Sus scrofa: one gene and its partner. The protein of the gene in region 2 binds, or shares a complex with, the protein of the main gene of each other region. Links are inferred from orthologs where the notes say so. Each region holds a gene or a part of one and is shown on either strand. Other genes may lie near its edges.

What was found.
Region 1: EIF3J (region 2) and EIF3L share a complex: the UniProt entries of both Homo sapiens proteins name them as parts of the eukaryotic translation initiation factor 3 (eIF-3) complex. The link is inferred for Sus scrofa from reciprocal best matches to the Homo sapiens genes EIF3J and EIF3L.

The regions. Positions count from the first base shown.
Region 1 is NC_010447.5:9,993,098-9,997,341, reverse strand, and holds the start of EIF3L (eukaryotic translation initiation factor 3 subunit L), read left to right. Parts: upstream 1-1,255; 5' UTR 1,256-1,348; coding exon 1,349-1,381; intron 1,382-1,920; coding exon 1,921-1,969; intron 1,970-3,410; coding exon 3,411-3,621; intron 3,622-4,244. UniProt on the Homo sapiens protein: Component of the eukaryotic translation initiation factor 3 (eIF-3) complex, which is required for several steps in the initiation of protein synthesis.
Region 2 is NC_010443.5:127,002,016-127,005,833, forward strand, and holds part of EIF3J (eukaryotic translation initiation factor 3 subunit J), read right to left. Parts: intron 2,246-3,818; coding exon 2,131-2,245; intron 1-2,130. UniProt on the Homo sapiens protein: Component of the eukaryotic translation initiation factor 3 (eIF-3) complex, which is required for several steps in the initiation of protein synthesis.

The DNA of each region.
Region 1 (4,244 bases), on a different chromosome or scaffold from region 2:
GCACCAATTTATATTCCCACAAAATTTTATTATTGATAATTTGGAAAAATTCCTCCTGACTTCACAATTCTTTTTTTAGTAATGCCATGAACATTTTGAGAGTTGTCAAAGTTGAGGGCAACCAGTATCAAACTTTTTTCCTATATTAACTGTAAGTTTTCAGTTAATTTCAACCTTTCTAGTGCCCTGATTAACCTTAAATACATATTTCATTGAAGACACCCATTGATCCACAGCCCGTGGTAGCTGTATCTTATACACTGAAGGCAGTAACTATTCCCAGAAGAGTATCACATAAGCATATCTTACTAAACTCAAATGTTCCCAGTAGGAATGTCTCTGAAATCCCAAACGCCACTAGACACAGGGGTTAAGTGTGACAGGAGAAATTGAAATAGAAAACGGTTCTAAGGAATTGCAGTAGAAATATTACTTTTGCAAATTTCACAAAAACCCTGTAACTATATTAGCACTCTCCTTGAGCCAACGAAGAGTCCCGGGGACTCCATGAGCCTTTTAGCTTAGTCCTACGATGGTATCACCGCTCGGTTTACAGACAAAGGAGTAAACTCAAAGCAAAAATGCGACATGAGAAGCTGGGGCCAGGCATTGCCATTCTAAATGGCTAACCTAAGGCTCTGGACCCACATATTGGCTTGTATCGCTTTGTTTTACAACCCGGTCCCTAACTCTAGGTCATCCCCAGGAGTCCAACTCCACCCACAGCGTGAGAGTTCATGCTGTAAGCGTGGGTAGGTCCCACGACAACGGCCTCACACCGCAGCTGGCTTCACCTTTGCCTGTTGCAACCTTAATGTCCAAAGTTGGGAAGCGCCTTTTCTCAACGCCCTCTCAACGCCCAAGTCTCAACTTTTACATCCAGTAACTTTATATTGTTGAGGTCGAAACGTTTGAAGACATTTTTCGCTACAGGCAACTCGCTTAACACCTAAATCCACATTCAGCCCCCCCCCACCCCATGTCGGAATTTCCCTTCACGCGAGAGGTCCGCCCGCGGGAGCTGTCAGCCATCTTTTGTGTGGCATCATTTTGTAGCTTCTCTTACTTTGCCCAACCTTTATTACGCTGAAATATTTCATGTCCTTATTTCTGAATGTTTTCAAGTACTATTGAGTCATCTTCTTTGTAGAGTCTCTATTTGAAGATAGAGGAATAATGTGTTTAATCTCATTCGCCCTTCCCAGCATGGCTGCCTCAGGTTGCCGAAGGCCCCGGAAGAGCTTCTGGTTTCCCAGCCAACTCGAGATGGGCTGGACTTCCGGCGTCCAGACGCAGGCGAGGTGCGCTTTTTCCGCTCTTTCCTCCTGGGCCTCGGAGCGCCGCAGCCATGTCTTATCCCGCTGATGATTATGAGTCGGAGGTAAGCTGCCCCTAGGCGTGTTCTGGGCGCCGCAACATGGACAGGGCTCTTTGGGTGTTGGGCCCCGCGGGGGGACAGTGTCTGGGTCTCTAGGAGCCCCCGTGGGCCGCGACCAGCCCCAGCCGGCCTCTCTGCCAGCACTGCTCTCACTGCTGCCACCCTACCCTCCCGGCTCCTCATCAGCCTGGTCTCAGCCCGCCCACCTCGCGTGTCTCGTTTTCTTTTCCTTTTCTTTCCGAAGCCCAAGAACGGAGGCTGGTCATAGGGTTCTGTGTTTCTGTAATTGAACTCTGATTTCTTAGGCCCTGGCCTTAGTCCTGCCAAACCTCGTCGATTCCCACAGCTTCTGTGCTTTGCTGTATCTCATTGCAGCTGCAACGCGGTATTGTCGTTGTCTGTTTATTCTCCCTTTTCTCATAGGGATGTGAGTTCCTCCAAGGCAGGGACTGCGTCTTACCCCCTTTGTATCCTTAGAACCCAGGAGGAGCATTTTGGATTCACGAATTGGTGACGGTCTTGTTTGTCTCTTTCGTTAACAGACTGCTTATGATCCCTATGCTTACCCGGGCGACTATGATATGCACACAGGTGAGTCTACAGTTTGTCTGGCTAGCTGGGTACTTCTAGGGATTGGCACCCTTTTGAATGTCTCAGAACAGCTTTGCCGGGCACCTGTTTAAGACTACGTCTTGATAGTCCAGGTTTGGAGTCAAGTTACTAACTCTCAAAGGGAGGGTGGTATATAGCCTATTAAACCAGGCCTTTTTCATGGTCCATCTCAAAGTCTCAGAAGGGAAGGATTACTGTCTCAGCTGTTTAAACTATTAGCTGAAGAAAAAAGCCTTTTGGGGGGGGGGCTGCCCCTGTGGCACGTGGGGATTACTGGGCCAGAAACTGAACCCTCACCACAGCATCGACCTGAGCTACTGCAGTGACAACATCAGATCCTTAATCCACTGCACCGCAGGGAAATTCCAGAAGAAGACATCTTGTGAAAAGTTAAAAGTGATTCAAACCAAGTCCAGATGAAACCTTTTTGGAAGGTTTTTGAGGTTTCCTGGGTTGTTACGATGACTTGGTTTGACTTAGCCCTTTGTACGTGCCGTGTGTTGTCCTGGATACTTTGTGTGAAGTATTTCATTTAGTCCTTACAGCAGTTCTATAAATACATAAATTAATGTTTCCATTTTCTAGGTGAAAAAACAGCACAGAGAAATTTAGTTACTTGCATCAAGTCATATATGTAGAAAACAGCAGTCATTCGCTCAAAAAAATCAAGTGCCTACTACTAAATTCCTTCTTTTCACAGTTTTCCCCCTACCTCCCACACGCACGGAGAACTCTTTCTCGTCTAGAGGCACCTGTCTCATACACCTGGGTACAAGACAGACAAGGTTCTTGCTCCTATAGGGTTGAGGTTCTAGTGGGGGAAACAATAAGTAAATAAGTAACTTTAGGTAGCAGGAAAGGTTCTGAAGAAACAGGCCAGGGAGTTCCCGTTGTGGCGCAGTGGTTAGCGAATCCGACTAGGAACCATGAGGTTGCGGGTTTGATCCCTGCCCTTGCTCAGTGGGTTAACGATCCGGCTTTGCCATGAGCTGTGGTGTAGGTCGCAGACGCAGCTCGGATCCCGCATTGCTGTGGCTCTGGGTAGACTGGCGGCTATAGCTCCAATTCGACCCCTAGCCTGGGAACCTCCATATGCCATGGGAGCGGCCCAAGAAACGGCAAAAAGACAAAACAAAACAAAATGAAAGAAACAGGCCAGTGGCGATTGAGAGTGACATAAAGAGAATTTATATTTCTGGGTGTTTAAAAGGGAATGGGAGTTCCCTTGTGGCTCAGCGGGTTAAGGATCTGATGCCACTGCTGTGGCTCTGGTCACTGGATTGCTGTGGGAACTTCTGCATGCCTCCCCCCCTCCCCACAAAAGGAATAATACCCAATTGTATAGACTTTAGTTTAGGGGGTGGGAGGCCTTGCCCTTTTGTTACACATGTGGATTTGAGATGTCATATCCCACCTCTAGGCGATCCGAAGCAGGATCTGGCTTATGAACGTCAGTATGAGCAGCAGACCTATCAGGTGATTCCCGAGGTGATCAAAAACTTCATCCAGTATTTCCACAAAACTGTGTCGGACTTGATTGACCAGAAGGTGTATGAACTACAGGCCAGTCGCGTGTCCAGCGATGTCATTGACCAAAAGGTGTATGAGATCCAGGACATCTATGAGAACAGGTATGGGCCACCTGCCGAAATGACCTCCTACTGGGTGGGACTGGCTGGATAAAGCGGTCCCCGAAGAGGGGTAATGTTTTGTCATTCTCTCTGTAAAGAGCGCGCCCAAGGGGTTTCTTTGATTCTTTGGGGCTAGGGACATGTTATTTTGTAGAGTTTATCCCCAGAACTTACAAGGCCTAAAATAATAACACCACTGTCGATTATAATTAAAATAGCAACTAGATGTATGATCAGTGTGTGCCCTTCGCAGTAACCCCATGAAGTAGGTTCTATTGTTTTCCTCATCTTTCAGGTGAGGAAGCAGCACAGAAAGGCTAAGTGACAAAGCCTAAGTGCACGTGCTGAGTGCCGAGCTGCACAGACTGTCTGTCGCCAGAGCCCGATTTCACTAAACTGTGCCCTACAACTTCTCAGTGCGAAACAGCGTGAGCCCTGAGTGGTCGCTTCTGGTACTGAGGGGCCTGCCCTTGTATACTCAGTGTTAGAGAGTCAGGAAACGGCTTCACCAAGGAAACGGGGTGATGAGCATCTTGGGCAGCCGTGTCTGGGTTGGATGCTCTAGGGCTCTTGTGGCATCAGACTCTCTGCTTCTGTATTTGGAGAAGGGCGAGGAGGCACGT
Region 2 (3,818 bases):
GGCCTATGCCAGAGCCACAGCAACACGGGATCCGAGCCGCGTCTGCAACCTACACCACAGCTCATGGCAACGCTGGATCCTTAATCCACTGAGCGAGGCCAGGGATCAAACCTGCAACTTCATGGTTCCTAGTAGGATTCGTTTCCACTGTGCTATGATAGGAACTCTTAAAAGCAGAGGTTCTTAAGCTGAGTCCACTGAATTGCTTGGACAGGATTCAAGTGGTTTGTACATAATTATTGCATCACAAGTTATTTCAATATTTTGATACCTATTTCAATACAACAAATTTCCTTTCTAAGTAATAAAACCCTGAGTGTTTTACACATTTAAAACACTATATTGGAGTTCCCTGGTGACCTAGTGAATTAAGGACCCAGGGTTGTCACTGCTGTGGCTCAGGTTGCTGCTGTGGCAAGAGTTGAATTCCTAGCCTTGGAACTTCTGCATGCCACAGGTGCAGCCAAAAAAAAAGTAAAAAACATTATATTAAGGGGCCCACAGGCTTCACCGGACTGCCGAAGGAGTCCCTGGCACATAAGGGTTTTTGTCTAAGAATACCACAGAAAAGTGGCAAGAAAAAGAAAAAAGCAGAGCAAGGAAAGATAGTTCCAGTGAAAGTATCCAGCTCACTAGTATCAGAAGCTAAGCAGGAGTAAACCATGTGTTAAATCCCAATAGAAAAATGAATCTGACCTAAAAGGATTCTAGGCTATGAGACATTATGCTTCTGTATATGCCTCAATAGTCAAGTAAATTAGTTGTTAACGTACCATTAATTCAGTATTTTAGTGTGAGAAACACAACACTAAATTCCTATTAACAAAATGATCACTGTGTGAATACATGTTTTTCCCTTTTAATCTATAATTGGTGTCCCATCTTAGAATTTACAGCTACCACATAAGCCCTTCTCTTTAATAAACACATGGGTGGCTTTTGCCATTCTATGAAGACAGGATAATAGCCAAGTGCCCTCTGTAGCAGTGTACTAAAAAACATGCCAAGCACATGCCAGTGCACAAGAGCATCCATGGCAACTCTTGATATTGTTAGAGATCCACTGAGAGATAAAGTCACATTTCCAATAGAAAGGAGAATGATCACTAGAGTCAGCCTGCTTGATCCATCTTAAAGAAGGGGGAGGGGGAATCAAGATAACTAGATCATTCTTGGCTCCAGGTTTCAACTCAAAGTTATTCAACTATTTCAACATGATAGTCTATTCTGAAAAATACTCTTATCAGTAGAGACAACAACTGTTAAATGAAGCGAGAGCTTTTAACTATTTCTCTGGCCATGTTTCTTACTTTACCTTCTATACCACGTAAATCACCCCCTGGAACACTCTGAACTTCTGTATTTACAGAATCCTGAACATTATCTACAGTCAGTTCAGTGTGTAAGTCTCACAGCTACAAAACTCTTCACAAAAGCTGATAAATTTCATAAAGCTGATAAATACATTTAAAGCAGCAGTACACTTTATTTGGGTTTAAAGACTTTTGGCCATACCCGCAGTATGTGGAAGCTCCCAGGCCAGCGATCAAACCTGAGCCACTACAGTGACAATGCCAGATCCTTAACCCGCTGTGCCACAAGGGAATTTCTTTAACGACTTTTTATCTTAATAATCTTTTATATGATACTCAATATAATTATTCAAAATTCTGAACATGTATCTCATTCTACTTTAAATAATGAAATCTCAAAATATAAACGAGATTAAAAACTGCTTTCTAATATCTAAATAAGCTAGTATCGTGTTTCTTCAAATAAGATATCTTCTGGAGTTTTCATTGTGGCTCAACGGTAATGAACCCGGCTAGTATCAATGAGGATGCAGGTTCGATCCCTGGCCTTGATCTGTGGGTTAAGGATCCAGTGTTGCCGTGAGCTATGGTGTAGGTCACAGATATGGGTTGGATCTCATGCTCCTATGGGTGTGGTATAGACCGGAAACTGCAGCACTGATTACCCCTAGCCTGGGAACCTCCATAAGCTATAGGTGTCCTAAAAAAGCAAAAAGCAAACAAACAAAAAAACCACCCCGAATTTTCATAACTAGTAAGACTGCCGCAGTATTCACCTGGAATTACAATACTGCACTCCTATCACACCTCCACTTACCAAAAGTTTCTTTTGCTAATTCGAGGTCTGACTCTTCCTGTAGTTTCTTTAGCCGTAGTTTATCTGCTAGTTGTTCTTCTGGAGTTAGCACTTTAGGTTCTTCAGGCTCTTCTAACTAAAATGAGACAGAAATGAAGTTTTAGAAGGGCTAGGACTATAACGGACCCAGTACACTTCTGTACTACATGAATTTTTTACCTAAACATGTAAATAATAAAAGACACTTATAAGTATTTACTGTATTTGAGGCATTCTTCTAAACATTTTAGATATTCTTACCCCAATTTTAAAGGAAAGAAATTTGAGGCACAGAGAGGTTAAACTGTCCTTTGTAAGAGGTAACACAGGTGATAATTTGATAAGAGTTGAGATGTGAAAACTGGGTTTACTTTATAATTATTTTAAACTAGGGAACTGAGACTGTAGGTAAGGTGAAAATGGCACCCTCATATACTCTGGCTAAGGCTGTATATGGAAACCACCTTTCTATACCTTTCTAGTAATATGCATCAAATCTTAAAAATACTCTTCTATGCTTATTTCTTTAATTGATTTAATTTTTTATTTTTCGGCCAAGCCCATGGCATGCAGAAGTTCCCACGTGAGGGATTGAGCCCATGCCACAGCAGCAACACAAGCCACAGCAGTGACAAGGTCAGATCTTTAACCCACTGAGCCACCAGTCATTTTAAAGAGAGAAAAAGAGACACTCTAGGAGATTTAGGATACATTAACAATGAAGTACAATGAAAGGTCCCTGTCTAAATAAACCATATTTAAAGACATTTGGGGACAATTAAATAAATTTGTATAAACTGTATCGGTTGATGTTTAAAAAGTACTGTTCATTACATTAGGAATGTGAACATGTGAGACATATTCTTGCCTTTTCAGAGATGCAAACCAAGTATTTAAAGATGAAATGCATAATGTTTATTTACTTGATTATATTTTAGAAAAGAAAGAAAGAAAGAAAGCAAAAACAGATGAAGCAAGTGTAGCAAAATGCACCCACGGCATGCAGAAGTTCCTGTGCCAGGGAACAAACCCATGCCACAGCAGTCACAATACTGGATCCTTAACCCACTGAGCCATAGGGAACTCTTTATATAGTCTCTTGAAATTTTTAAATGAAAACTCAAAAAAATAAAGCTCTCTATGATCTATGGAAAGATCTCCATGATAAATAAAGCAAGGTGAAAACTAAAAAAGGGGGGGAATACAACTATAATGTTGTATCCAAAGACAAAGTCACCTGGAAGACATAAGAAGCCAGTATCAGAGTTCCAATTGTGGCGCAGTGGAAACAAATCCAACTAGGAACGATGAGGCTGCAGGTTCGATCCCTGGCCTCGATCAGTGGGTTACAGATCTGCCGTTGCCTTGAGCTGTGGTGTAGGTTGCAGATGCGGTTCGGATCTGGCGTTGCTGTGGCTGTGGTGTAGCCCGGTGGCTGTAGCTCCAATTTGACCCCTAACCCGGGAACCTCCATATGCTGTGAGTGCGGCCCTGAAAAAACAAGAAAAGAGAAAAGAAGAAAGAAAGGAAAAAACAAAGGAAGGAAGAAACCAGTATTTACTTATGGGAGAGAGGGAGAAATAGGACAAATGAGTGAAGAGATGGGAGTGCTTCTTAACACTGTTTTGATTTTTTGGTGGGCTGGGGGCACAACCATAGCATATGGAAGT